Linked DNA regions of Tamandua tetradactyla. The protein of the gene in region 2 interacts with the protein of the main gene of each other region in a pairwise test. Links are inferred from orthologs where the notes say so. Each region holds a gene or a part of one and is shown on either strand. Other genes may lie near its edges.

The links. The genes of interacting proteins can lie anywhere in the genome.
Region 1: the proteins of EFHC2 (region 2) and TSSK3 interact in binary tests that used the Homo sapiens proteins (3 or more experiments, as listed by UniProt). The two-hybrid records come from large-scale screens. The link is inferred for Tamandua tetradactyla from reciprocal best matches to the Homo sapiens genes EFHC2 and TSSK3.

Annotation. Positions count from the first base shown.
Region 1 is NC_135328.1:193,531,412-193,538,568, forward strand, and holds TSSK3 (testis-specific serine/threonine-protein kinase 3), read right to left. Parts: upstream 2,921-7,157; 5' UTR 2,672-2,920; coding exon 2,527-2,671; intron 2,262-2,526; coding exon 2,148-2,261; intron 1,826-2,147; coding exon 1,164-1,825; 3' UTR 588-1,163; downstream 1-587. UniProt on the Homo sapiens protein: Serine/threonine protein kinase required for spermatid development and male fertility.
Region 2 is NC_135353.1:127,137,088-127,144,677, reverse strand, and holds the start of EFHC2 (EF-hand domain-containing family member C2), read right to left. Parts: upstream 3,028-7,590; 5' UTR 2,907-3,027; coding exon 2,865-2,906; intron 1-2,864. UniProt on the Homo sapiens protein: Microtubule inner protein (MIP) part of the dynein-decorated doublet microtubules (DMTs) in cilia axoneme, which is required for motile cilia beating.

The sequences.
Region 1 (7,157 bases), on a different chromosome or scaffold from region 2:
CATATGTTGGGGGTGAACTTCTTGAGACTAATCATCGGACTTCTTCAAAAGTCTTCTTCCTGAAGACAGACCCAGCCTTTGTGGCTTTCATTCTCCTCTCTGGTACAGCTGCATCTCTCTCGGAGGAATGAGGGGCTGCAGGAATCCCTGGAGACCTTGGTGCTTCACGATGCTGCTTGGGTGATTCTTGTACATAATCTTGTGTGCTCACCAATGATTTAAAGGAATCATGGTCAGAGTTGTCATGGGAGTGGTGGTCACTTGCGCTTCAAACCTTCAGTGAGAGGGTGGGAGGGAAAGAATGCTGAATCTTTTTTGGACGGGATGGGGTTTTTCTCTTTGTAATTATTTCTTTAGTTTAACCTTTTGGTTGTTTGTGCAATATTATATATTTTAAATTATAATGCATCTCCCCAGAATATTTTGTAGCTGGGAAAAGAAAAAAGGAAAAAAAAAAATCTAACAGCTGTTAGTTTTGTAATTAAAAAAGAAAGAAAAATGAACTTTGTCCTGAACCTTTTACAGACTTGCCGTTAACAGCATTAAAAAGATTCAACAGAAGCTGGAAGGTGTCTGGGGATCTGTCCTTGTCCCCCACAGCAGCTGCACTGGATCCAGGGCAGGTGTACATACTGCAGGGGTGGCTTCAGCTTGGAACCTGATGGGGGAGGGACAGAGTAGGGAAGCAGCCTGGGTCCTGAGGAAGTCCCTTGTCCTCATCCCAAACTCAGCTTGGGCTTTGAGGTGAGGAAGGGACAGGCCCCCCAGCAGGCCTCTCACCAAGACAAGGAGTCAAAGAGGCCGTTTCTGCATTCCCAGTGCTTCGGCTTTTATTTGGAAAGGAAGTTGCAAGAACAGTATTTCAATTGCTCTTGGTCATTTTTCTCTCTTTTCCTCCCCCCGTGTGTGTGTGATTTGGGGGGTTGTTTTAATTATCTAGTTAAACACCATGAAAACCACTTATCATGGTAAAGGAGAGGTCTAAATGAGGCCCTTTGGTTCCAAGATCTTAAAGGGAAAGAGAATTAAGACTTGGGGGAGGGGGGGTGTAAGTAGATTTAGGGTAAACTTAAAAGTGTAAAATATATATCACCATTTAGAAGCAGGTTTTTGAGTTTGCTTTCTCCCCCTGCTTTATTGGGGAGGACTTGCTATTGCTTTTATCAAGTGTTTGCTAGCCATGGATGCCAACTAACTTCTTCGATTGAAGGCCGGAGGATCGTGTCTGGTTCCAGGAGCCGCTTGAGCAGGTCCTGGCATTCGGCCGAGATGCCCAGATGAGTGGGGAAGGACACCCCCTTCTGCTGCTGCCACAGCATCTTGGGGATGTCTGTGTCATCAAAAGGTAGGCTGGCACAGAGCATGACATACAGGACTACACCCATGCTCCAGACGTCACCCTTCCTGCTGTCGTGGGGAATGCCCTGCAGCACCTCAGGGGCGGCATAGGCTGTGCTGCCACAGAAGGTCTGACTCAGCTCCCGGCGTGACTTAGGCAGCACCTTGGCAAAGCCAAAGTCAGTCAATTTCAGGTTGAAGCCCTGCAGCAAGGCGTTCTCGCACTTGAGGTCCCGGTGGGCCACACCACAGCCATGGCAGTAACGGATGGCCTCAACCATCTGACGGAAGAGGGCCTTGGCCCGGCTCTCGGGCAGTGGCCCCCCATTCAGCACGCAGTCAAAGACATCCCCTCCCTCAGCCAGCTCCATCACCAGGTAGATTTTCCCGTCAGCAGACTCCAGCATCTCATACACCCGGATGATGTTCTTGTGGTCCAGGGTACGAACAATCTGGAGCTCCCGAGGCAGGAATCTCTGGATAAACTCTGAGGAGACAAAGGGAGTAGAAATGGGGAATCAAGTCCAGAAGGGCCTAACTCCCCACTACCATCTCCTGCCTTCCTCCTGTTTGCCTGTCTGCCTACCACATCTGGGTCTTGTTCCTTGGCTGCACTCTGCAAAGAATATTCACCTCGGTTATTCTTATGGTTAATATAATATGCAGGAAAATTACTCCATAAAGATGTGGGCAGCCTGTGTGGGATCAAAGTGCCTTGGAGACTTAACAGACAAAGCCATTGGACCTCAGTTATGGGGTCTGATTTGCCCACAGGAGTGAGCTAGCTCTTCCCATGCCTGCTTTCCTACCACCGTTCTTTCCATGAGCTGGGTCTTCCTTTTTCCCACCTCTGCCTGGCCTTGGCACTGGCTCCTGCCTTCTGATATTCCTGGTTGTGGCCTCTGCCAGTGTTTGTTCCCCTCCTGGAATAGGAAAGATCTGATAGCTCAGGTTCTGCTTCTGAGGACCCTTCATCTCCTGCCACTTCCTTTAATCTTGGACTTGGAAGGAGTAGTGCTCCTGAACTTCGAGCATCACTCTGTTCCCCACCTTCCTACCCCAAAGCCATATCTGGCTTGCTTTCCTTGGTTCCAGAGTAAAGGCCAGGAGGGAATGATTTTTCTGACCGGAGGAAGGATCTACCCATCTCAGCCAGCCCTCCCTTCCTCCAGAGGGGCCCCAGCTCACCTTCTGGCCCTCCCATCTTGTCTATAATTTTAATTGCCACTTTTCTTTGGTGTTTTTTGGAAAATGCTTCTTTGACTTTTGAGTAGGTCCCTTCCCCAATGGTCTTGCCCAGCTGGTACCCATTGGAGAGCAGAAAGTCCTCCATGCTTCTAGCGCCTCCTTCCTATCACCCTCTCAGCTCATGCTGCCTCCACGAGGCAGCTCTACTCCACCATCACCCTTTGCCTGCTCCTTTTCCCCCCCAAGGACTTCATCCGCAGCCGCCCCCAACGCTAGAACATTCTCCGACTGAACACAGCCGCGGGTGGTGGGGAGGGAGAGGACCAGACATTTTTAAACTCCGGCCCAATTGTGATGTAAATGCTGTGTGACCCTTAGCCAAAATGGGCAGTGCCCCTACCGGCCCTCACCACCACCACCACCAAAACCGGCGCAGTTAAGTCACGGCCTCCACTCGCTCCCGCCTGGCAATGAGTCGCGGTCCCGCCCGGGAGCGCATTCGGGGTATCTGTGTGCGGATGCCTCCTTGAGGCAAGCAGCCCTAGCCTCTTGTGCTTCCACCCGGTGGCTGGGGGTCAGCGTCATCCAATCTCAAGGCGCCAGGGTCAAGCGCCCTTCAGTTCTCGGTTCCTGTCCGCGCCAAGTGCCCTGGCAGTCGGGGGCGGCGAGAGGTTCCCCGGCGGGAGGAACGGGCTCTGTGAGGTCAGCGCGCCACGGCTTAGGTCACAATGCAGCCCTCCCCCTCGACGCCCGAGCCCGGACGCGCCGCAGACACCTCCCCGGCTCCACCGGGACCGGAGCGTCCTCTTGTGGCCAGGGCTCGGGCAGCTGCTTCCAGCTGGGACCGGCCTCGGCCACCGGCAGGTGAGCAACGGCCAGGGGGCAGACGCGGAGAGAGGGCGCCTGACCTGGGAGGACCTGACCGCCACTCCCCGCGCAGAGCGCCCCGGGGCCAGGACATGAGTGCCCAGGAGCCCCCGCGAGGTCGGAGATTCCCCATTGAGGCTGGAGACTCCCCTGGTCTTGCTGCTGCCCCCGAGTCCCAGGACAGCCCGGAGCCAGTAGCTACAGAGCACAATCCGGTCAGGTGAGGCCCGTGCCCCCACCGCGAGACCCGTCCTACGCCCAGGCCCTCCCCACCGCCCGGAGGTGTGCCCCCATAGACTGCTGCCCAGGTACATCTCCCTCACCGAGCCACTCCCAGCTCTACTTTACCCCTTTCTTCCCTCGGGTTTCCTGCATCTCACGCGCCATCCCCGGTACGCTCCCCAAATTCACACCCGAACCTCGGGGGACGCCAGGTGTGCTCCCGGGGTGGGCCAGGCTCCCGATCTCCTGTCGCGCCCCGCCCTCTCCAGGCCGCTTCGACGTTGCCCGGGCTGCCACTGCCTGACACTGCTGCACGTGCCCATCGACGTCTACTTGGCCATGGGCGGAAGCCCCCGGGCCCGCGCCACCTGAGTGCGCCTGCGCACAGCGGCTCCGCGGGAGCGGGCGGGGGCGAGGCTCGCCGCGGGCCCCACGCTGAGGTGGCGCGCGCGGAGCACGAGACAATGATGCACATTTTAAAATAAAAGAATGGTGCACATTTTAATAAAGCACAGCATAAACTGTTCTTTCCACTCCGGGCTGGCCGTGTATGTCTATCCGTCGGATCGGGTCCGCCGGCTGCTCGGCACCATCCAATAATTCCTTCCCTTCCGCCGCCTCCCCGCTGGGCCCCGGCCCTCCTGGGCCTGCCTTCCTCTGGCCCAGCGCCACACCCAGCCCACCCGGCATCCAACTTCCCACTCTTGTGGAGCCCTTCCTCCCTCTGCATCCTCTCCTCCGCCCTTTCCTTGACTCTCCAGTGAACTTCGCGTTACAAGAGCAGATCTGTACGAGAAGCTCGGGACTGGCGGGAGAGGTGAACGGACAGCTTAGACTAAAGGGAATGGCCACCCACTACTTGCCCATTTAATTCTCCCAATTAGGTTCTCCCACCTACTGCTTTGTCACCCTGGACACCTCTGACTTGGTCGGAGCCGTCAAGGGCTGCCCCAGTCCATCCTGAGCCTTGATTTCTCGGAGGGCTGGTGGGACTACAAAAAGAGCTTGGGAGTGAGGTCACTTGAAAAACTGGTTTCTTAACTTCCTATTTTACAGGTGAGGGAACGGAGCCTGGGACCCCCGACGGTCCGCGGTGCCAACCACACTCACCGTCCTCGGGAAGGCTGGCGCCGACCCACCCAGGAGGTGCTCCCTACACGAAGGCTGCCAGGAGAGGCTAGCATTTAAGCTAAAAGAGTATTTTCCATTTTCCAGTTTTGCTTTATTAAGAGACTGAATTACTTTTTAATTGGAAAAAGCATAACCCAAGAGTCAGATTCAGTCTCCTCTCACCTGAGATCTAAATACAATTGACCCAACACCCCTCCCTCATCCAGCTGGTACAAGTCCAGGCCCTCCCTAGAGCACTTCAGAATCCTACCATCACCAAAAGGGACACCCTTCTCAATTTCCACACAAAGTGCTCCCCCAGAGAGTCTCAAATGTAGGAGGCGTTATTGGAAGGTGGGTGGAGGGGGATTGCCAAAAAAAAAAAAAAAAAAGGTAAACTTCAAAATAAGAACTTTAGACTTGACTCTTGCTTCTTTGAACATCCTGGCTCTTGAAAACCCCTCCATGCTTGCCATTCCCCTTTCCAGAACAGTGTCCAGCTTCTGCCGTAGTGCCAGCTCCTCTCTCCTGCTTCACTCTTCTCCTTCCCCACCCTTACCTTCAGACTCAGTGCTGCCCACTGCTGGGTGGAGCAATCCAGCTGCTTCCATCCCCACCACCAAACTCTACTGCAGGCCCTACTCAGCCTGACTCCCCATGCTGCCGCTCTCCCACCCCAAAGGGGCCTCTTTCTCTGTAAATAGGACTCTCTCACCTTAGGAAGCTGTGGTCATTTTAAACAGAAAAAAAATATTGGCCTCTGTATTGACAAGTTCCCTCCACTGCAAGCAACAGAAGATAGTTTATGTTAAAAAAAAAGGGGGGGGGGGGAATTCACTAGTTCAAGTAGCCAGGAAAAAAACTAGTATGGGCTAGTTCAAAGGATTAAAGAATGAATTGTGGGAATCAGGACATCTATTGGACTGGAACCAAGAGTTCAGGTTGACCAGAACCCTGCTCTGTTCTTCTCTTGTCCCTGACTATCTCCTCTGAGCAGGAAGCCCTAGAAGGGAAAGCTGCTTTCTCTCAGCCTCAGTTTCCCTGTCCCCGGGAAGGGCAGCGATTAGCCCTTCTTAAATCACATACACACCCATTGGACCAGTTACCATGGCAGGGAGATGGGAAATTACAATTGACCAGGCAGGCCTACCCTTGAGGTGGGAGCACAGCCAGGTGATTGACTGCATCACCAGGAAATGAAGAATAGAGATGGAGAAGAAACATTCCAGGAGCGGGAACAACTTCTGAAAAAACTGGGTATGCCTGGGACACAGTGAGCTGTTCCCCACTGGAGGAAACGCCTATCAAGAAGGGGTAAAGGCTGTTCTAAAATAACTTCAGCATTTTAAATAAGAATCACAATGACAGTAGAAAGCTAAACTATGGACATGTCAAATGGTTTGTTGATTTCTTCATTTTAATGGACCTTTATTAGAATGCGATGTGTTGAAACCTTTTAGAACTGACCAAGAGATGAATGATATCCCATGTTTAATTTGCATTTTCTCTGTCCCAAGTTCTTACACTATGTCTTGTGGGGAGAGGGAACAAGGGAGGGTTTTACTTTTTTTTTGAAAAGTTTGAAAATATCTGTCAGATTTTATTTTCATTAGTTATAGTGAACTTATTTTTAAAGTGAAAAAACAAGAAGTAGAGGGCGCTGAGGCCTCACTGTTCTGAGACAATGAGGAACCTTAAACAGGTGCACCAGGAGGCTGGCCACTGAGCTGAAGTACAGGCTTGTTCCTAAATCAGTCACCACAGGTGTACCAGGCAGGCCTGTACACTTAGGGATTCAGTGGCAAACCTGGCAGACCCAGGCCTTGCCCTCCCTCACAAGACCCATCATCCAGCAATAACCTGCTGGGGGCCTCAGGTGAGTCACTTCCCTCTGGGCTCATTTCCTCATTGGTTAAAAAAAAAAAAATGGCACCAGATGGATACTAGGGACCCTGTCAACCCTGAAATGCTGAATCGTTCTCATTCTCCCATTCTCTCTTCTCTCCCTCACTTTCTTTCTCCCCTCTTCTCAACCCACCTTTCATTTATTGCTACCTCCCACAGGCTTGGTGGGTGAGGGATGCAATGATTCCAGATACAGCCCTTGCCATGGGAACAGACCCTGGGAATAGTTAGCTCTAGAATGTCCACAAGCACGGATAAGGGCATGCCTGGTAAAAAGAATATTGTGGACAAAGGCCCTGAAAGTGGAGGAAAAGTTCAAGCTCAATCAATTTTCACCAATACCCACCTAGGCCAGACCAGATACTGGGAACACAGGCCAGAATCTGACAAATCCCATGTCCTTGCCCTTGCAGAGCTCACAATTCAGGTGATCCAGGGATGGGTTAAGAGAAGAGAAGCTGGGTCTGGGGGCCTTCGAGCACCAGGTTCAGGAGTTTAGAATGTCGGCAACAGGAAGGACAACAGGC
Region 2 (7,590 bases):
AAGAAATTCACTGTAATAGGCATTGTGGGGAGATGAGAAGTCAAGATTTGGCTTTACCTTTCTAACCATTCTATCCCATAGATCATCCAATCCTTTAACTAAGTAAAAGTTTTAAAAATAATACTATTTGGGGGGCAACATACATCACATTTAGTACCAAAGCTAATGCAACAATTTTTAAAACGCAGCCACTTGATTTGGGCACATACTAGGACGCTTAACAAATAAATATTAATTGGTTGAATGACAGACCAAGGTATCTATCTAATTAATACCCTCTTCATTCTCTGGACACACACACTTTCATTGGCCTCAGGAATAAAGTAAATAATCCTCTGGTTTTTTGTGTTTATTTTTAAAGCACATTCATGAGTGTAGAAACAGACCTGTGGCACTTGATTAATGACAAAGGCTGTTCTGCAGAGAAGTGGAGAAAGGGGGACCTTTTCCAAAAATGGTCCTAAAACAACTGAATATACATATGAATAAAAATTACCACCTGAACCCCACCTCCTTCATACACACAAACAAAATGTCTTCTAGGTTGATTGTAGATCTAAAGGTAAAATAACAAAATTTCCAGAAGATAACATGGGAGAACAGCTTAGAAAGCACTAACCTAAAGGAAAAATTATTCATTAAAAAAAAAAACAATAGAAAATTAGACAAGGGACAAACAAGCATTGCACAAAGAGAGTATCCAAATGACCAATAGATGTATAAAATATGCTCAGTCTCATTAGGAATCAGGAAAATGCAGATTAAAACTACAGAGAGTTGTGTTACATCCACCCACCAAAATAACTAAAGTTTAAATGAATAACAATATCAAATATTAGAAAAAAAATATGGAACAAGAGGAACATAAAATGCTGGTGAGAATTTAAATTGGTATAAAGACTCTGATAGTGTCTACCAAAGCTGAACATATGAACACCACATGACCCAGCAATTATACCAAAAGGTATGAACAGGAATAGAGCAGAACTATTCTTAATAACCCCAAACAAGCCAAATATCTATCAAGAGTAAAATGTATATACAAATGATGTCATTGTTCACACAGTGGAATACTACAGAGCAATGAAAACATACTACCTGCCTCCACAGATAGCCACATGAACAAACCTTATAAACATAATGTTGAGCAACAAAAGCTAGTCAGGAAAAAAATAAACACCAGATGTTTTCATTTGTAGAAAGTCCAAATGCAGGTAAAACCTAACCATAGTTATAAAAACCAGAATAGCGGTTATCTTTGGAGAGTGAGGATAGAATGATCAACAGAAAAGATCAGAAGTAGGATTGCTAGATAAAATATTAGACACCCAGTTAAATCTGAACTTCAGATAAATAATAAATGATTTTTAATATAAGTATGTCCCATGCCATATTTGGGACATGTATTTTTATTTGCTAAATCTGGCAACTCTAGTTATGGATTACAATTCGGAAGTACTGGTAATGTACTATTTCTTAATGTTCATTTTGTGATCATCCATTGTGTATTTTTCTGTACATATATTGTACCACACAATATAATAAGTTAAAAAAAAAGCAAAAGTACACTCAGTACATACAGCCTTGCAAATTTTAAAATAGCACATCCAACCACTGCTTTTCTTTCCCACACTTAATGTTCTATATGAAAGCTATGATACTTCTGCATGAGGTGCAGCAGTAATCCGAAGTGTTGTCTGGCCAAAAGTTGTGGGCTGTACTTTCAATCTTTATTAAAAATCATTTCTTTTACAGAGCATGCTTCTTTACTTCCAAACTCTTTTTTTTCCCCATACCCATCCTCCCCGGATCCATTCTTATTTGAAGGACTGGCTTAATACCACCAAAGGCCAATGCTATGCTGAATGGCCAGCCTCTCCCCATCAGCCAAGAAATGCCCAAATCAGTACAAGTCAGAAAGAGCAGACCCTATGTAGGGGTCAGAATCTAACGGCCTAAAGCTACAAAGAAGGGGGTTACTCTAGGGCTAACAACTTGGATACACTGTCCTGAACACATAAAGCTGAATGCTTCAATTGGCCACCTGGTTTCTAAATTTATCAGAGGTTTAAGTAAATATCCGGAAGGGTTTCATTTAGTTCTCTTCCATTGATCTATTAGTTACCTTCTCCTTCAGACACAACTGGCAAAACCAAGTAAAGAGTAGTGACCAATGCAGACAAAAGTCCCAAGCACTTTTCTTCTGCTGTTTAAATAAGGTGTTATTTATTGGCAGAAGTTCATCAACGCCCAAGGATTTTTGTGTGTGTTTTGTTTTGTTCCTTCATCTTGCTTTGAAATGGATCCTCCCGATTCTGAATAAAGAAAAATTTCTCCACGTTTGGATGCCACCCTGACCTTCAGCCCCCTTGAGGTTTCTTCGCTTTACTAACAAGTACTATATTTATCTCGTTCACACAGTGATTTGAGGAAAATGATTAGGTTCCCTGGACTATGAGACTGTGTAGCTTTGGACCAGTGAGTGAGGTCGCTCTGTACTTCAGTTTCCTGAACTGTAAAATGGGAATCAACATAGCATCCAATTCAAAGGGCCGTTGGGAGCATCAGATGACGCGTAAGGCGATTAAAGAACAGTGCCTGGCACATCTTAAACGCTCAACAGTAATTCTTAAGTATTTTCATCATCACTATCGTCTTCACTACCTTCAAGGGTCCTGCCACCTGTTAGGACTCATGTATCTGATGTAGGAAAAGCCCCCAGATGCAGTTGGGGGAGGGGGGAGCGGGTGTAGGCGAAGAGGTAAGGGTTCCACTAGGCTATAAAGTTGAGGCAACCCTCAGGAGAAGAACCAACGGCAGGAAGCCTGGGCCGGAGCTCTGACACCGGCTCCCTAGCTACTCACATTGCGGTTAAAGCTGTTGCCGGGCAGCAGCGGCAGAGTCATGGCTCTGAGCGTCGGAGGGTTGAGAGAGAGAGAGAGAAGAGGGGCGGCCTCTAGGCCTCAGGTTGCGGCCGCCTAGGGCCGCGTTGTTTGGCCCATCGGTTACCTGGAGACGGGAGGCGGTGTCACAGAGGGGGTGGGGCGAGGCTGGCGGGGGCGGAGAGAGAACCTCCCCCTCACTCACCACCTCCCTCCCGCCCCGCCCCGCCCACCCACACAGGCGCTCAGCCGAGAGCAGGTCTCCAGAGTCTTTTTCTCAGTCAATGCTTTGTGCACACACAAAGGCTGACAACCGCACCACTTCCCGCCCCCGCCGCTTTCTGGTTTAACACTTTTATAGATCCCAAAGCCTTTCATGTACTTAAGAACCTTCCATCCTTGCCACAATATTTTTTACCGTTTGGTTCTGAAATTGAGTTATTAAATAGGTCAAACATACAGAAAATAATATGGCACCCGTGTACCGACTGAGAATTAACATACATTAATGTTTTCCTATGTTGCGCTTGCATCAGCTTTAATTAATGGAAGACATTCTAGATGAATCTAAAGCCACACATACCCCACCCATCCCCCACACGAAAATTTATTCATTAGCCACCATCCTCAATCCTTCCCCTGTGTATTTTTATATTTGAAGTAAACATTTGTAAGTAAGATGCTCATTCTTGGTCCAATCAGTGGGGTGAAGCAGCACAAAAGGCAGCCCATCACTCCATCCACCCAAGATGCCCAAGGCCAGGAATTTCCGCGATTCCTCTCCCCACACTTAAAGCTAATGCCTCGCCAAGTCCTACTATTTGGATATTCTAGTAGCTTTTAATTACCACTTCCTTGATCTCAGTTGAGCCCCTATTTTTCCTTGCCCGGTTTTCTTCTTTAAAAAAAAAATAATAATCTAACTGATTTTGCCTTCAAAACCATCATTTAATACTTTTGTAATTCATGATGCACCTGTTACTCTACCATTTAACTAGTCTATCCTTCCTTCCACCTTCAGAAGGCAATCAAACTCCTTAACCTGATCTAAAGAGCCTTTCTCAGAGGATACCTGCTGATACTCTCTCTGTCCCTTTCATTGCCATCCCTCCTATTCCAGCTCCGAAAAAATCACTAGTAATTTCCAAATCAGGTCCTGCAACTCCTCTGGGGTTTTGCAGATAACATGATCTGCTTGAAACACCCTTCCTGCCTATCTTTCACTTGCATAATCCCTTCATGTCTTTCAAGACTTGGTTCAGTGTAAGAGAGACACATAGAAGACTCTACCATTTCTGTGACATGTTCCCTCACTTTCTCCAGCTCACCTCTTATGTGTATTAGGGACTGATCCATAATGTGGTTTTTATCCCACTATGTTGTAATCATATGTTCCCCCAAGTTCCTCCAAGGGCAGGAACTATAGTGCCTTTTTTGCTTTCGTTTGTTTTGTTGTCCAAATTAAGACATCAAGAGGAAGATACCTTCTCTGAGGAAAGGCTACCGGCATCCTGGGTTTGGTTTATTGGTTTCATGAACATTAAAGTATAAATATAACAAACTACTTGGAATCCTGGGTAGAACATGAGATTTTGTTGGTTTGTCCAGACTGATGCCCCGATGAATCCCACAGGGATTTGATCAGTGAGTGGAAAAGTATTTGCAAAATCCCCTTCGGGGAATGATGAGAACGGGGAGAAATTCAACTTCCCCAAGTTGAATTCTTGATATTCTCACAAGCAGTGCGGACAACCAAAGGCTGGGCCCCCAGTCTTGGGGTTTGTTCATATGAAACTTAACCCCATAGGGGATAGGTCAAGCCTACTTGAACTTAGGCCTAAGAGTCACCTCCAAGAGAGCTTCTTTTGTTGCTCAGATGTGGCCTCTCTCTCCAGCCAACACAACAAGCAAACTCACCACCCTCCCCCTGTCTATGTGGGACATTACTCCCAAGGGTGTGGACCTTCCTGCCAACGTGGGAAAGAAATCCTAGAATGAGCTGAGACTCAGCATCAAGGGATTGAGAAAAACCCTAGAATGAGCTGAGACTCAGCATAAAGGGATTGAGAAAACCTTCTGGACAAAAAGGGGGAAGAGTGAAATGAGACAAAGTGTCAATGGCTGAGAGATTCCAAACAGAGTCAAGAGGTTATCCTGGAGGTTATTCTTATGCATTAAGTAGATATCACCTTGTTATTCAAGATGTAATGGAGAGGCTGGAGGGAACTGCTTGAAAATTTAGAGCTGTGTTCCAGTAGCCATGTATCTTGATGATGATTGAATAATGATATAGCTTTCACAGTGTGACTGTGTGATTGTGAAAACCTTGTGTCTGATGCTCCTTTTATCTACCTTGTCAACAAACGAGTAGAATATATGGAATAAAAATGAATAATAGGGGGAACAAATGTTAAAATAAATTTAGTTTGAAATGCTAGTGATCAATGAAAGCGAGGGGTAAGGGGTACGGTATGTATGAATTTTTTTCTGTTGTCTTTTATTTTCTTTTTGTGAATTGATGTAAATGTTCCAAGAAATGATCATGATGTTGAATATGCAACTATGTGATGATATTGTGAATCACTGATTATATATGTAGAACGAAATGATCATAAGAATGTTTGCATTAGTTTATTATGTTTTTTTAATTTAAAAATTAATAATAAATAAATAAATTTTAAAAATAGACCATATCTTTTCTGGGGTACATAACAGATTCAAACCAGCACAGGATCTTTTGCTGATGTTTATATTGGCAAATTTGTGATTATCTAATTTATTTCTAGCTTTTTTATGTCCTCGATGACTGCTTTTAAGCATAGCAAAAATCTCACTATTGGTAGTTTGTCTTTTAATTCCATTTATTGTACATAAATTTGATATTTTATTCTATTCAAATGCATCTTTCATTACCATTATGGTTTGTGCTTTGTATGTGAAATCAGGAAATCTTGTACTACTCCTAAAGAAGTTATTCTCCTACTTTTTTTACAAACATCTTTAAATATTTATTTTTGTTTGTTTTTAAATTGAAATAATTTCAACATTATAGAAATGTTGAAAGAATAATATAAAAAACTCCTGTTTACTTTTCACTTGATTCCCCCAATTGTTTCATATTTTACCCTATTTGTTGTATTATGCTCTCCCTATATACATATTTTTTCCATTTGAGATTAAGTTGCAGATATGCCCTTTTACTCCTACATAATTCAGTGTATATATCCTAAGATCAAGGGCATTCTTTCACATCACTGAGGTGAAATTACCAAAATCGGAAAATTGGCATTAATACAATGCCATTTTCTAACCTAAAAAGCACTCAAACTTTGCCAACTGTCTCAATAACGTCCTTTCTAGCAGTAAATACGGAAATACATAAAATCTGGTTCAGAATGTAATCAAAGTTCACACACTGCACTTGGTTGTCATGTCTCTTTATTCTCCTTTGATCTATAATAGTCTTCAACCTTTCTTTAACTTTCATGACCTTGATATTTTTTACGAGAATAGGCCAGATATTTGGTAGAACATCCATCAATTCAGGTTTGACTAATGTTTCCTATTGAGTACATGCAGGTGATGAATTTTGGACTGGGACACCACGGAAGGAGTATTGTGTCCTTCTAGTTTATCATATGAAGAAGCACATAATGTCTATTTGTAACATCATTGGTGATCACTTGGTGAAGGAGATGCATGCCAAGTTCCTGCACTGTAACATTTACAATTTTTTCCTTTTTAATCAATAAGAATTTTGTGAGGAGATACTTTGAAATTATATAAATATCAAGTTGCTCATTAAACTACTAGTATCAATTAATTATTTTTCCTGAATCATTTATTACCATGATAGTTGCCAAATGGTGATTGACTAACTCTATCACTCCTTCTACATATATTATTATATTTGACATTCTCCTACAAGGAAGAGTTTTCCTTCTTCTCCATTTATTTATGTCAAAGTGATCTCACAGATTCTTATTTTATTCAGTGAATTATAATCCGCTAGTATTCTTTATTTTGATTCTAAAATTGTCCAAGATTGTCCTCTGAAGCTGACTCCTGTGTTCTTTTGATCATCCCCACTATTTTTTGAGCACTTCCTTTTTGATGCTATAAGATACTATTCCAGCTCATTTGGTAGTTTCCCTGCCCCAACCCTGGAATAAGCCATTTCTCCAAGTATCACTGATTCCTTTTAGTGGAGAATGGTAAATATTTACCTACTTGTTCAATACTAGAAGACCCAAGAAGCAGTTTCAGAACATCTAACTCACATTCTTGTGAAAAATAAGTGAATAACTAGAGTTTAATATTTTCTCAGTGTTTTTTTGTTTGTTTCTTTCATCTTAGTGTATATAGTCATAATATTTTGTTCAAAATTTACTTAGGTTAGCCTTTGCCCTCTATCCCAGTTTCCCCCCACACCAGCTAAAGTGTTTATACTACTCATCTGAAAAACATTTGGAATCATTCACTTCTGTTTGCATTCCATGTTAAACTTTTATTCTTCATCTTTGTTTCTTCTTTGTCTTTCTTATTTGATACAGTTGTTTTTCTCCTTTTTTGGTTTGATGAATGTAGCTAGTGGTATATCTATCTATCTATCTTTCTATCTACCTATCTACACATACTTTTTTCCAAAGTATCAGAATTTTGACTTATTAATTTGACCTATTCATTTCTATTCTTAATCCTCATTATT